2 linked regions of the Tribolium castaneum genome follow. Each later gene encodes a partner of the first gene's protein in a complex. Links are inferred from orthologs where the notes say so. Each region holds a gene or a part of one and is shown in the gene's direction. Other genes may lie near its edges.

Region 1 (7,757 bases):
TTTTATTGCCGTTTTTCTCAGCATAATTAAAGAAGAAATCGCCTAAACTTGTGTTGTCTAAAGTAGGTTTGAATTCTGCACCTTGCAATATATTGTTTCGCATCATGTTGACACTTTAAAGGTACAAGAAGGAAGCAGTGTGTCTTATAGTTTTCGTCAACTTTATATAAGTTATCTGTCTTCATAAAATGACTAAGCGAAATCTTCAATAGATAATCAGCGTCAACTATTATGCTGTGTGTGGTAACAAAGTAAAGACTATACCCCTGCTCTAGTTTTAACGCAAATATCACACAAAGAAAAGGAAAACAGCATGACAATTGCTTTCAAAGTATGAATAAACTTTGATAGGAGACAACATAGTCAACAACTTTATGTACAAGATCAATAAACTGAAATAATGTTATCAAGCATTTATTTAATAAATCAAAAACTGAAAAAAAATGTGTATTAGCTGTGGCATCAGGCTTTTCTACGGGTGCATAATTTGATTAAAAGAAATCCACTTTGTGCAATTTATTTAGATAAAATTTGTGTTGATATTATATAGAAATCTGCTGCAATAAGTAATAAAGTGTGAATACTCTGTAGCATTAATTAAACTAATGTAGATGTTTACATGCAAATAGCTGCAAATTTTCTTTTTCTTCTTGCAATTCGATTTAATTATAATTGAAATTTATTAAAGTTGTTTAAATATGTATAAAAATAAATACTTAAGCTAAAATCGTGTTTGCGTAAAGATAATTAGGTATATTGCTCAAAGAAAACAGAACTTTGGACATAATAATGTATTTGGTTAATACTAATCTTATTTGCTTAATAAAAAATGTGGTAATCATGTGAATGTTATGTATGTAATTTTTATAAAATACATTAGGTAATACCTAACTATTGTTTTTATATTTACATCACTAAAAATAATGGTTGTTTGTCTAGACAAGTTGTTAAACAGATTTTAAATTAATATAAAATGTACGTTTAAGGAAGATTCACATTTTTTTTAGAGTGGGGGCAATGTGTTTCAAATTTAGAATTAAAGAAAAATTAAATGAAATAAACATTTTGTAATAAAAATAAATAAATAAATAACTCAAAAGCGATTTCTATTAAAGTGGTTTGGTATAAAAAAAAACATTACTAATAACAAAAAATTTTTGAAAGTAATTAATTAATAATAATTATTATAAGGATTGGTTTACAGAAAGCAAATTAAAAATTAATCCAAAATTAAACTAATTCGATTTTTTATGTCTTTTATAATGCTTGCAAACTGTATTTGGACTTCCAAAAATTGTATGTACTTAGTAATAAGGGTACAATAATGTAGAAATTGTTTCTTTTTAATTCATGCAGAACACAGAAGCTATCGATAAATACCAAATTTTCTTCACAAGATGAGAACCTAGTTTAGGGAGAAAAGGCTCAATTATTTTGTATGTGAATAAAATTAAGAAAAACGGTAGAAGAAAAATGACACGAAGTAATAGTATTGTATGTTCGTAATAATTATACCTATTGATAACAAAAACAATCCTCTTGTTGTGTTTTGTTCCGATAACAGATAAATTATTGCTAGAGCTAAAAGAAAAAACGAAATATTGATAAAATCGGTTTAAATAACAATTTTGTAGATATTGATAAGATTCCGCGCCTGATTAGGCACAAATGCAACACAAAATACACTCCACAAACCATACATTCTGATTTTATATCTGTTTGTTAATTTTTTTCTTTATGAAATTTGCCGAACTTGAAATTTCAGTGAGGTAACAGGGGTAATACTTTTTTTTAACTGTTTGTCTGTTACTTTTACTCCCCATTTCTAACACAACTAGTTGTGAGTGTAGGTAATGCAATGAAATAAAACGAGGTTTTAACTCAATAATTTAATAGTCATTGAAAATATGGTAATTACACAAATTGTCTCCTAAAATTAAGCATGGAATGGTTACAAAAGAATCTCATTATAGGCATCTGTGCGTAAAGTAGTACCACCCAATTCTAGTACAACTTATGTAAAAATACACTTTATACATGATAAAAATTCTGATAAAATTATATTCCACAAACGATAAATTTACAAAATAAGTATAGAGAAAACAACAAAATGCAATAACTGAACAGACACGGTTTATACACGATAGGAATTGAGCCTTTGAGGGAAGCCTAGCCTACGCCATCCGAATGGACTGGATAATCTGGAAAATCGCCGATCCGCACACGACGAAGATGAACAGCGCCAAGATCATGGGCCCCACTGGCGAGTTTTCGCTTTGCTGCTTCTGCAAAAGGGGCACCGTCAGCTCCCCATCAACAAACAATATGGTCCAGCGTACTCACCGACGATTTGGGCACATTCCCTCGCAAGACCACGTTCTTGCTGGCCTTTTCGTTGGCGAAACGCATCCGCTGTTTGGGAGCCATCGTTCACAGGAAAAAAATACGGAAAAGTGGAAATAATTCAACAGAAAAACATACACACGCGTTTTTGACACGTCCGTGCCTCGACACTGGCCCGAAAAGTGCGGAGAGGGGCAAGGGAGGCGCTTTTTTGACGTTTATTTGACACGTAAGATGAAAATGCGCATGCGCCACGGACGCGTGGAGAATTTCAAACAAGGGAGGGAGTGCTAGAAATTTCCAATGGGTTCATTCAATTTGCAATAATTTATGATAATCAAGTATATGCCTAGTTTTCTTGGTCATTTTCCTATCTTCTATGCATTTTTTTCAAACATCAAAAACAACGTTGAATTTGACTTTTTACCCTGATTTTTAACTCAGATTTTTCAAAAAACAAAAATTTTAAGGTGCATTTATTTCGGCACAAATTTTACATAGATATTGTAAAGGTTTCGTTACTTTTTTGTCAGTATTTTATGCGGTAAATTATGGGAACGTCGTTGAAAGTTACGGATCTTCTGGGTGTGTTTGCGGGAGCGATTCGGTTCGTAATTAAGGACAAGCGTCTCAGACTGTTTCTGAAACTATTCATTCTTGAAAAAGTCCTTTCATTCATGGCATTGGCATTAGCCATGTTGTTGAGGAGCTTTAGCGACATTTCAGGGATTTTCAAAGAGTGGACTTCGGGATTATTATCCAGCCAAGTCAATAATTGTTTCATAACTTTCACCTGTTGGTCAGGAGTGACCTAAAGAAGGATAATTGCACGTTTAATTGCAACAATTAAATTGTACCTTTGTTAGGGCTTGTCGAATTAAGAATTCATCTTTCGTCGACATCCAAATAACGGGAGTTCTTTTGCTGCAAAGCCACATGTAGTTTGATTTCCCAAAAATACTTTCCGCACATTTAATTTGTTGAGCGTGCATTAAAATTTGCACCTAGGGAGAAGAAACAAATAAATTAAAACGATTTAAATGAGTGACACCTCACCTGTTCTATGAACTGTGAGTTCATATCGAAATGTGAGACAAAAAGAACTCTTTAAGCGCATAATGAACGAGACGTGCGGTAATAATATTGCCTTTATTAAAAGATAAGCAAACAAATTTTCACGTATGAAGTGGATATGCAAATAAACGAATAGATTCGGGCTGATATGAATTTTATTACAATGTGGCTAGGTATGGAATAATTTAGATTGACGTTGTTTGAGAGTTGATAACATCTTACAACGCACGCAATTATTTATTATCTCTGAGGATTCACCCAGCAAGTCAAAATAATCGAATACGGTTCTGCAGTGTTAGGCGCTTGTATAATGTGTTGCCTAAACATGTAGTCGGCCAAACATAACCTACCGTTATTATCCCATTCAAATAACCACAAAATAATGTTTTCGCCTGAAAAATAACCGTGGACACGATGGGCGAGCCACTAACAAACGTCCTAACCGACATTCTCAAAGTTGAAGGCATCGAAGAAGCCTTTAGTTGCTTTCTAGTGCACCGCCCCAGTGCCGAAAAGGAAAAGGTGGCTGTATGGCAACAAGAGTTGAACACAGCCCTGCGGAGCATCCCCCAGGAGCAGCTAGACACCGCCCTTCGCCAGTACCTCAACACTGCTGTACTATGTTCCCAAAGCAAGCTCCAGCTCTTGATGGAGCTCCTGGAAAGTGTCGTGCGCAACGGTACCATTGGGGCCCGTATCGTGTGTGAGGTGGTGATGAATTTCGATAAACTACAACACACCAATGCGCGGTTCTGGATCGAGTGCTTTAAACTCGTGCGGAAAATTATAGATTTGGTTGAATACAAGGGCGTTCGCGAAATTATGAAAGTAAGTGGGGAATTGTTGTGGTAATTGTTTGATTGTTGATTGTAGGGATGTTGCGAGAAGGCGAAAAGTCTCCCCTGGCGCTTGAACGCGGGCTTGCAGCCCCAAACCCAGGCTCTTTTAAGCGTCGCTGAACGAATCATGGACAGGAACGCGTGCCTCCTGCCTGGCTATCTCCTAGTGAACGAGCTCCAGAAGGCCTACCCTGACTGCCCCCACTGGCGCCTTGCTGCCCTCTTCTCCGATTACGTTGGCAGTTTTCGGGCCTGTGCCCAAATGGTGGCTATCGTAGGCCAGGCGGAAATGCGGCCAGTTGTGGAGCACAGCGGCTGTCCCGAACACTTGGTCAATCCCTGGAAACTTGACCCGTGCACGTTGCGATTCTCGCTTAAGGGCACTTTACCGTACGCTCCCGAATTACTAGAGAAGCAAACCGGTTTATTACGATACGTTCTGGAACAGCCGTACAGTCGCGACATGGTGTGTGGCATGTTAGGGTTGCAGAAACAGCACAAGAGACACTGTGCCGCCCTTGAGGAACAACTGGTCGAGTTGGTGATTTTGGCGCTGGAACGCACGGAAAATGAGGGCGATGAGAGCGCCACTCAAGGGTTATGGCTGCACTTGTCGTCCCAGTTAATTTATTTTGTTCTTTTCCAATTTGCGAGTTTCCCAAACATTGTTATATCGTTGCATTCGAGACTGCAAGGGCGCGACTTGCGGAGAGGGCGCGACCAACTCATGTGGGTCCTCTTGCAGTTTATTTCCGGTTCGATTCAGAAGAACCCCCTCTCGAATTTCCTCCCAGTTTTGCGGCTTTACGAACTGTTGTTTCCGGAACAGGAGCCCCCTTTGCCCGTTCCGGACTTCAACCAGCCCCAGTGTACGAGACAGATGGCAATGACGTGCATTTGGATCCACTTGACTAAGAAAGCGCAAGCCGAAATGACCAACTTGACTTGGCCAATTCCCGCCAAACTACGCAACCATCATGATTTCCTCCAACAGTTGGTGCCCCCTAATAACACCGTGTTAGCGATGGGAAATGACTACAGAATCGCCTTGTTGTGCAACGCCTACTCAACGAACCCCGATTATTACAGTAAGCCAATGGCAGCGCTAGTTGAGACGATCCAAGGGAGCCCCAAATCAACAGCCCCACCTACCGCGCCTTTAAGCATGGCCGTCTTGGACTCATTAACTGTGCATTCGAAAATGAGCTTAATCCATAGTATTGTCACACACGTGATTAAACTAGCACAGGCCAAGTTAGGAATGCCACTATCACCAGCTTTGGTGGAAACGTACAGTCGCCTGTTGGTGTACACCGAGATCGAATCGTTGGGCATCAAAGGGTTCATAAGCCAGTTGTTGCCAACCGTATACAAGTCACACGCTTGGGGCACCCTTTACACACTTCTGGAGATGTTTAGTTATCGGATGCACCACATCCACCCCCACTACCGTGTCCAGTTACTCAGCCACTTGCATTCGTTGGCAGCGGTGCCGCAAGCCAACCAAACCCAACTGCACTTATGTGTCGAATCGACCGCTTTGCGTCTAATCACGGGGCTGGGCAGTGGCGAAGTTCAGCCCGAACTGAGCCGCTTTTTAGCCGAACCCAAGACGTTAATTTCGGCGGAATCGGAAGAGTTGAATCGGGCGCTGGTTTTGACCCTAGCTAGGGCCACGCACGTGACGGGGGCCGACGGCTCGTGGTGTCACGAGTTGCTGGCGACCATTGCACAAAGTACCCCCCATGCGTGGGCCCCCCACACCCTCGAATGCTTCCCCAGGGCTCTGGCCGAGTTTTTCACGCAACATGCCGTCCCTAAAGAAAACAAACAACAATTGAAGAAAGCAGTGGAGGAGGAGTACCGGAAGTGGTCGTCCATGAACAACGAAAATGACATGATGGCGCATTTTGGGGTTGCGGGAGCGCCCCCACTTTTCCTCTGTTTGTTGTGGAAAATGCTCCTCGAGACTGATCACATCACGCCAATTGCCTACAAAATCCTGGAGAGGATTGGGGCAAGGGCGCTTTCGGCCCACTTGAGGAAGTTTTGTGATTGTCTCGTGTTCGAGTTTAGTAACAGTCCTGGGGGGCAACATGTTAACAAATGCGTGGATACGATCAATGACATGATCTGGAAGTACAATATTGTGACAATCGATCGGTTGGTCTTGTGTTTGGCGCTGCGGACGCAGGAAGGGAGCGAGGCTCAAGTCTGTTCGTTCATCATCCAGTTGGTGTTGCTTAAAGCTACAGAGTTTAGGAATCGGGTGCAGGATTTCGTCAAAGACAACTCGCCCGATCATTGGAACCAGACCAACTGGCACGAGAAACACTTGGAGTTTCACCGGAAATACCCCGAGAAGTTTGCCCCCGAGGAACAGTCAAGTGGTTACCACCCCTATTTTGGCAACGTGTGTTTGCGCTTTTTGCCGGTTTTTGATATAGTGGTGCACCGGTTTTTGGAAATACCGCAAGTCACCAAAAGTTTGGAGATTCTGTTAGAACACTTGGGTTGTTTGTACAAGTTTCATGACCGTCCGGTCACTTATTTGTACAACACTTTGCACTATTACGAGACTAGGCTTAGGGACCGTCCACCTTTGAAACGACGGTTGGTGGCTGCTGTCTTAGGGACACTCAAAGACAGTCTTTCGGAGCCCTACCAACTGTACCTCGGACGAGCTGCTGACGAGATGTGGACCCCCGAACTGGACTATTACATACAAGTGGTCAAGCGAGTCGTTGATATTCTAGGGGGCGCCACTGCCAATTCCGTAATTGATTGGCGGTTCAATGAGTTCCCAAACGCCGGGGCTCATATTCTTTACACCAGCTGTGTGGAACTGATGGCGTTGTCCGCCGGTCCGGTGGCCGTAGCCAACGGTTTGCTAGACGTCGTGGCCAAAGGCTATGTCACAATTCCCTCGTCAGACATCCACCAGTGGGTCAATGCTGTTGGTTTAATTCTGGCAGCGCTTCCAGTTAGCTACTGGAGTGTTCTACACGATCGACTTGTGGCCACGTTAAACGAGCTAGAAACGTGGAATTTTGACTGTTCTCCCTTCCGTTTGTTCGATTTCAAAGAAACCCACGCTGGGCTTTTGCATAATAATTTTAGTTATATGCTAGCTTTGGCTCATTCGGTTTGGCATCACGCTGGTCCGGGGCAGATCGCCAGTGTGCCCCGATGGGCGCGTGAGTGTTTACCGGCTGTGGTACGGTCCGAAGAACAGTTTCTCTATGTTTGTCATCTTGTGGGGCCCTTTTTGCAACGGTTTAACGTGGCAATAGTGGAATTGACGAGTGCTTTGTACGAACTGTTGGCACAAGTTGACCACGCGCACAGCGAGTTGAAATATATGGACCCGATCTGCGATCTCTTGTACCACATTAAGTACATGTTTGTGGGGGATAGCATGAAGAAGGAGTTGGAGACTGTGGTGCGCCGGTTAAGACCGCCTTTGCAAATGAGGTTGAGGTTTATCGCACATTTGGCGAT
Region 2 (7,792 bases), on another chromosome or scaffold:
GATTGATTTGAGCCAGATTCGGGTTGGCGCACTTTTGCAATGCCCGAATTTGTAAAAGCGCCCGGAAGGGGGCGCGACAAATCGGGCAATTATTTGCTTGATAACGGAGCGAGTCAGCGCATGAATTACACAAACACAGGTGGCGGCAAGGTAGGATCAGAGTGTCTCGAACGTCGCACATGCAAATAACGCATTCCGAACCGTTATCTTCAGTCTCGTCGTCGCCGGATTGCTAGAAAACGTGGTATTTAATACGCAATGTGCTGGGCAGTTTGTAATCTAATTAACAACACTAGTTTACAATTTTTTTTTCTGCTTACTCACTGTTAACTATTTTCCTATCTAGTTTTTCTAGTATATTCATTGAAAGTTTTGAAAATTTGTTTCTGGTGTTTAGTTTGGCATTCGTTGTTTCTGTAATAAACTAACTGTTAAACATTTAATTTGCTGTAAAATATTATCAAGTGAATGTAGATTAAGCCCAAACAACTTTTTTTTGTTTGCGGTAAAATTATCCAAATAAAACCTGAAAAACTTAAGCGATCAAATGGTTAACGTTGTCATCAAGATTTAAAGTCTTATGAAAAGGGGAATACCAAGGTTTTGCACTGACACTAATCAGTACAAAAAAAAAAGAAAAAATCTGTGTCATAATTAATTTTTCAAAAGCTCTGAATCCATCTTTTTTGTGGTGTCTTTGGCATTCATTATTTGTGTGATTAACAAATTCTTAAATATTTTATTTGCTTTAAACAACGTTTTTTATTTTAAGTTTAATTTTTTCTAACAAAACCTGAGACGCTTAAGCAATGAACATGGTAAATGTTTCCATCAAGATTTAAAGTCTTATGAAAAAAAATATTTTTAGGATAAAAATATGTTATTCGTTTACTACTAGTCTACATTACGATAAACTGACCTTGATAGTACAAAAGAAAAAGCATTCTGTAACATTTTTGAAGTTGCAAAAATCGTCAAATACTGATACTTTATAATGAATATTAAAAAAACTTGCCGTTCTAATTTTTTTTTGACTTCGGTATCAGGACTAATTATTCTACAGATAAACATTGGTTTTATCTATTGGTAAAAAACGTTGTAAACTAGTGTAATTAATGCAGTGAAATCCCCCTTAACGGACAACTCCTATAAGCGGACTTCTGTGACAGACGGACAATTTTGTTGACCCCGTTTTGAGCTAATTTACTTTAAATGGAATTGCTTTTCTTTTAAGCGGACGCTCCAATAAACGGACGCAGACAATGCAAATCAGATCCTTGAACACAAAATCTCGCCTTCAAGCAGACAGCATGTTAATTATGACAATTCGTCAGAAAAAAAAGAATACATGTTTTATTCAATAGTAAACTGATTTAGATTCTGGCCTCAGAAGAGGTTTTAAAGTTATGTGTATTATTTATTGTGGCTTAGTGCCAACAAAATTGTCCGTTTGTGAGAGAGTTCCGCTTATAGGTGTCCGTTAAGAGAGATTTCACTGTGTATTTATGCCCAGTAGGGCATGTAAATAATCAATCACCTTGTCGTTATTTTTGTTCTCAATGCCGTATATTTCCTGCAGGAGGTAGCAAAGACCGTCAACGAATAATTTCTGTTTGAGAGCTTTTAAAACATAAGTACCGTCGGACAATTTTTCGGCTGTGGCGATAGTTGTGTGTGATTGTCTCATTTCTGGAACAATCAATTCAAAAATTAAATTCAAAAACGGGTCAAACCAACCCTCAGCGCCTTCCTCCGCCACACAGTGAATGGCAATTGGAATAATCTCCCGGTCAACATCATACAACAACTCCTCTTCTGTGTACTTCGAGGGATCAAAAACGTGAGTCATTTGGCAAAACTGTTGGTTCGCACCGCGTTTGTAATGAAAAGTCTCGGAGGTCGTGTTAGGGTCACGCGGCAAGTACCTTCAAACCCCATAAAATTGCAAACCCATGACAAAAACCCAACTTACGTGACTCCACTTGGTGTAAACTCCTCGGTACAAAAATAGTAGATTGTTATTGCACACCTGACGTCACAATCGAACGTGAACTCGATATTAAACGTCGAGCTCTTGCCCAGCTCAATATCCCTGATGTCCCGCTCGTTCTTTTCCGCCGGTTTGGAATAATCAGCAGGGGCGCGGACAAACCGCAGCGACTCTTTCCGGATGTTCACCAGACTTTTGAGCGTTTTTGTGGGCTCATTAGGCTGGGGCGGGGGGTAGGGAAACTAGAAACGGCACTGTGGGGGCGAAACAACCGCATAATGGCTACTTACAGGGGTTGGTCTACTGCCCAGGAAATTCAAATCGGAGTTCTCGCCGAAGAGGTAAGACTCGGGCTGGGGGGTGTCGAAGCGCTCGCCCCCCATTATAAAGTGGCTCCCGAAGTAGTTCCCTTCAGAAAAACGCCTTCAAGGTAATTGGTACGGAAAAAAGCAAAGCGACATACCAGACCTGGGCGGGTACTTGTACGCGTGGTTTGACACCACGTCCACTTCCTCGACCCCTGCGTGTTGTCTGCTAGCCAACGAACCCATTCTGCGGGCTTGAAATTGCCAAGTTTTTCCAAAATCAGAAATTATTGTTGTTTTTAGTTTGACATTATTATTGACACTTGTGACATTTGAGGCGTCGTCGCCAACACCAGGGACACAAAATCCCTGAGTGAATGTGTCAGAAAATTCATGTGGGAAAGAAAATTCAATGAAAATTCAGGAAATGCCTTGCTATGATGGAATCTGACGAGCACAACCAGGAGTCAGAGAGGAATGTCACGGTGGAAAATTTGAATATCGAGATCTTGCCCATTATCTACGAAATAATACGCAGGTTTGTTGATAAAATTAGTGACAGGCAAAATCGTAATGTCTTGCATAATCATTCAGTGTTGAGAAAGACCACCACGATAACACCGCCAAGGCACGAGAGTCGCAAGACTGTTCCCAGAAGGTGCTCGAGTTGCAAAAACGTTTGGACCAAGCCAGAGCCGAGGTAACTTTCTTCCACCCTAATCACTTCATACCCATAGTAGGGGATACGAATTAGGATCATACTGTACTATCTTCTGGTTACCGGATGAAAATATCTTTTTATCAGAGATAATATCCAAAGTCCAAAGGATTGTATCGCGAATAGGTTTCCTAAAAAAAATGTTCCAGGCCATGGTAAAGGGGGCTAAAAAGCGTCGAATTTTAGCCTTTTTTCAGTATTTTACAACTGAAGGCTACAGGGGAAAAACAACCTCAGTCCACTTGTTTGAGAAAATGAGGTGGGGTTGTAATATTGTAGTTTTTGAGAAAACAATCAGATAATTGAAGCGGGAAATAGCAAATACGACTTCAGTATTGAGCAAAATATGTTACAAATTACACTATAATGAAAAAAGTTATGGTTCCACGTTAGAAAACTTTAAGGATATAATTATTTTTTAGCTCACTGCAATCAAGAAAATAAAAAAAGTTAAGAGGCTTGTTAAAATTTGAATAACTTTAAACTTAAATGAAATACCGTATTTTTTATTTTTGCATCTAAAAGACCTTTAAATTGTCTATTAAAGAACATTAACAGTTAAGTGCTGATTACTCAAAAGATTATACTTAACTTAAAACATTAAAAAAAGTCATTAAAAATTATTCACAATTGTTTCAATAGTCGAAGAGTAAAATTTTCAGCTAATAATAACTTTATTATTTTTCAGTTATTTTTCACAGTAAAATAACTAAAATTTTCTTATCTATGGCGAATTTTTAAATCCCTGTTTAAACTCCAACAAATGATCCGTGGTGAAGTTGCTAAGGTTATGGTAACAGTAATCCTCATGAATAATCTGCATTGTTGATGAAATTAAATTTTAAAGTCAAATATTTGTTTAATTATAAAGGTTAGGCATTTGAAACTTTGTTTTTAAGTAGACAATTTAATAATCTTTGAAAAATAAAAACAAAAACTTTTATTATGTTATTCAACTTTTAACAAACTTCATAATTTTTCTACGTTCCTAATTGCATGCGTTAACCAATTTAACTTTGAACATTCTTAAAAAAATAAGTTTGTATTGTAGCTAATTTCGGAAATATCCTATACAGGATGATTCAAAAATGTTCGACAAACACTCGTATGGTGATAAAAGACGTTCAGTTAAGCACAAAAATGAAGTCAGATTTTTTTATATATTTTTAAGTTTGTATTCCTTAGCAACGGTATCGATTGTTTCTCTTTTGTTTCCTAATATGTTGAATTTAAGATATTGTCGAATTTACAAGTTTTTTTATTGTTTTGCACATAATTAGACATTATTTGTTAATTTTTTTCAACAGGTATTTGTTTAATGTTGCAAGAGATGTCGTTTCTGCTAATTAAGGTCAAAAAAATATGGTCCGAAGCATCAAAAAATTAACTTAAAAATTTAACTTTGAAGAGCTGTAGCTATCTCGTGAAAAAAGACTCAAACAATTTTTTGTCATAGGAACTTTTAATTCAGTTTGATGTCCTTTATCAGCACCCGAGAGATTGTACGAGTACTTTTGAATTACTCTGTATATTTGAAAGTAGTTTTAGATGAGGCAGGTGATTAGTATCTACAACTTAAGGAAAAATAATAATAATAAAAACCCGTTATATGTACGAATAAACAGGTGGTTTCAAATGAACAGCAAAGTTGCTGTTCTCTGCTCTTCCACTTAAACCTTTCAAACAAGAAGAAATATACAGCAAATGAATAAAGACAAAATAAAAAAAAATTGACATAACAAACCAGTACAAAATAACCAGTAGATTCCCATGACTGTCCTTGTTCGGAAAATTATTTGTCAAATATTGCAGCCTTGAAACTATAAGAAGATTCAATTTCTAGAACTGTCGATGGATGCTATTATAATCTTTAGCTACATTAAAAAAGGGACTTTTAAAAGAGACTTGTGCGACTTACGGTAACATTATGTATGTCACGACGGAAGATTATTTCATCAGTGGGACTTGGAAGTAACTATTTTGTGATATAAATAAAGTCCAAGTTTTGTTAATTTGATTTTTATATAGCATGGTCGCCTCACGTCCACTTTCAATTATTTGATCTTTATTTTTTTAAGTTTTCATTTTTTCTTGTTAATTTTCAATACTTTACACAATCATGCAAAATTCGATTGTCTAATTTCAACACTTTTAAATTTGTGTTTGTTAAATAATATTACATTGTTGAAAATGAACCTAGAATGATTCAAAGTGAAAAAACTTGAAAAACTTTATTTATACTCCTTCCTCAAAAGCCCAAGTATGTTGGAATTTCCTGATGCCATAGGCAAACCGGAGACAAGAATTCTGAACCAATTACTTTTCTAACAATTAAAGATAAATAATGGACTTTACCTACTCGCATTTTTGATAAAATAAGCTTCATCCGTTAAACAGATGAGTGCAGAACGACCGTAATTCGAATCTTAGACTACCAACCCCTTGCAGATCCGGCTATTGCCCGGGATTGAGTACAGCAAAGAGCAGCAACTGGACCACTTGGAGGCCCTCAAGACGCAGCTGAAACTCAAGCAAGAGCTCCTGCGCAAATACCGCTACATGTACTCGTTTGAAGTCCCCAAATAACAGCATGGTGTTTCGCCTCCTGATCCGCTTGCTTGCAAACAACGAACAGTTGGTGCAAAGACTGAGCGAATCGTACCCTATGCGCAAAGCGGCGCAGGTCGTAGTGCGAGCTGTCTACCACGGCAAGAATCTCATCGAGGAGCGGGGTCTTGACAAGCGGCTATCGCCCGAGGAGTTCCGCGCTTTGATGAAGCGAATCGCCCAGAATTTGCAAGGACAGATCAAGCAAGCCAGTGACGAGTTCAAACACAAAATGAAATAGACGCCATGGCGACCGTGATTTTCGTCGGCTCCCCGGAGAAAAGTCCGAAAAGTTGCGCCCAAAAATTCAAGTCGTTGTTCCTCGTGCCGCCACACGATGTGATTTTTCGGGTTTTTGCCGCGTTCGTGCCGCCGGTTTCCAAAAAGTATCAGAAGGTTTACGTTGATTTGCAAGGGCCGGTCTTGGCCCTTGTTCTATTGGCTGCTTTGCTAAATTATGGCTACTCGTTTAAACCACGCAATACGTTTCGCTCGCCGACCGAAACCGTCGTTATTTACAGCTTAACTATGCCGCTGTTGGCGTTTTTCGTGTGCAAAATCGGGCGTTCGTGTATCACTCTATCGGAAATGACCTCTCTAATCGGGTACGGCTTATACGGCCACATTTTCACACTGTTTGTTTCGTTTTTACTGTTTGAGGAAGCCAGCAATTTTTTCTTCTTCGTGTGTTTGATCGTCTTTGGCGGGCTAAGCACGCTGCGAATTGCCTTGGTTGTTTTGGGGACTTTGTTCGTACCAGCGGCACGACTATTGATTTGTTCGCTTATCTCGATTTGTAATATCTTGTTTGTGATTTTTCTACATTTTGCCTACATGCATCGGACTTTTATCTCGTAGGAAATTAACAAAGGATTGTTACATAAAAACTCTAATAAAATAAATTACTTTATTTCTGCCTTTTTCTCACTCGGACTTAGTTAAAAACGAAAGAATTTGCGCGATTATTGCACTTTTGTCGAATTGAGGTTTGAAATCGAATTGATGTTAGTCTCAGTGAGAGGTTTTGCGGTGTTTGAGTTGGCATTATTGTTTTTACCACGACCTCCGCGCCTACCTCGACCTTTCCTCGAGCCGGATTTTTGGCCACTGTGCTCACGCTTATCGGTACTTCCCTCAAACGTTGTCTCCCCAACGGCGGTACCAATCTCTGAAAACTAAAAAACACCAGTTGTTCAAAAGTTAAATTATCTAAATTTGCTAAGAAAAAAAAAATGATACGACTTAGAAAACACTATACTTATGGTAGCGCTCAGCTCTATTTGCGTGTGCGTCATCTGACATTTCTGTCACTACGTTTACATAGCAGGGGCATAGCGCTGACAAACTATCAAATATTTTTTGAGGTTACGAAGTGTTTAAATTAAAAAAATACAAAAAATATATTATTCACAAAACAAGAACTAATAAACGCAGAATCAAAAACCTAACGAAACGCAAATCACAAAACACAATAAAGGAACGGAAAATACTTGCGATTAACACCGATAACACTTTCGACAACCATGCGACGACGTCTATAATTTACTGTCAATGTCAGGCTGACAAATTCGTGACACTTGACGGTGTTGTCGAAGTGCACATGTAAATTAATGTTCAAGGATACCACCCTTAGATACCCCTTAGTTGTTTAAATTTGCATTGTTTTTGACAATTTTTTTACAGCTTTGTGTTGGTAATGAAAAAATGAAATTGATGACGCACACGCAAATCGAGCTGACCGCCACTATAACTAGAGTTCCTATACTTTTTATGTTTGCTATGTGTTAACCGTTTTACAAACAGCATTTATTATTTTACCAAGCGTTTACGATTTATAAGTGTGCTTAGCGTTACCTCTTGTAAACCGGACTGAACGTTTTTGGTCACGTGGTTGGTTTGTGTGTTTCCCCCGCCGTATCTTTGTTGCTTGTTTTGTTTCGTCCTTGTATTGGGATGCGTGGGCGTTGTTTGCGTTATAATTCGCACAATGTTGCCAACTGCTTTAGTGCGACCTTCACGGAACACCATTCTTTGACCCGGAGTCATGTACTCCGGGTGTTTGATAAAACGGAAGTGAATTATTGCTTTATCGCCTGTTCTGAGACAATCTTTAGACATTCGGACGATACTCGCAGTTTGTCGGATGCTTCCGCAATGAACTGTAATGTGATT

The links. Proteins that work in one complex are often made in the same cells at the same time.
Region 2: MED23 (region 1) and MED9 share a complex: the UniProt entries of both Drosophila melanogaster proteins name them as parts of the mediator complex. The link is inferred for Tribolium castaneum from reciprocal best matches to the Drosophila melanogaster genes MED23 and MED9.

The regions. Positions count from the first base shown.
Region 1 is NC_087394.1:35,202,679-35,210,435, reverse strand, and holds the start of MED23 (mediator of RNA polymerase II transcription subunit 23), read left to right. Parts: upstream 1-3,831; coding exon 3,832-4,245; exon of another isoform or gene 4,246-4,290; coding exon 4,291-7,757. Other genes in the region: uncharacterized protein LOC657935, read right to left, coding at 1-106; stress-associated endoplasmic reticulum protein 2, read right to left, coding at 2,175-2,285, 2,344-2,427. UniProt on the Drosophila melanogaster protein: Component of the Mediator complex, a coactivator involved in the regulated transcription of nearly all RNA polymerase II-dependent genes.
Region 2 is NC_087395.1:15,954,383-15,962,174, reverse strand, and holds MED9 (mediator of RNA polymerase II transcription subunit 9), read left to right. Parts: upstream 1-2,691; 5' UTR 2,692-2,732; coding exon 2,733-2,833; intron 2,834-2,889; coding exon 2,890-2,995; intron 2,996-5,461; coding exon 5,462-5,599; 3' UTR 5,600-5,603; coding exon of another isoform or gene 5,604-5,861; 3' UTR 5,862-5,866; coding exon of another isoform or gene 5,867-6,478; 3' UTR 6,479-6,530; downstream 6,531-7,792. Other genes in the region: Mrgn1 (E3 ubiquitin-protein ligase MGRN1), read right to left, coding at 1-232, 1,538-1,689, 1,738-1,925, 1,973-2,232, 2,281-2,413, 2,459-2,541; protein NCBP2AS2 homolog, read left to right, coding at 5,604-5,861; protein YIPF3-like, read left to right, coding at 5,867-6,478; Dgp-1 (GTP-binding protein 1), read right to left, coding at 6,583-6,795, 7,475-7,779. UniProt on the Drosophila melanogaster protein: Component of the Mediator complex, a coactivator involved in the regulated transcription of nearly all RNA polymerase II-dependent genes.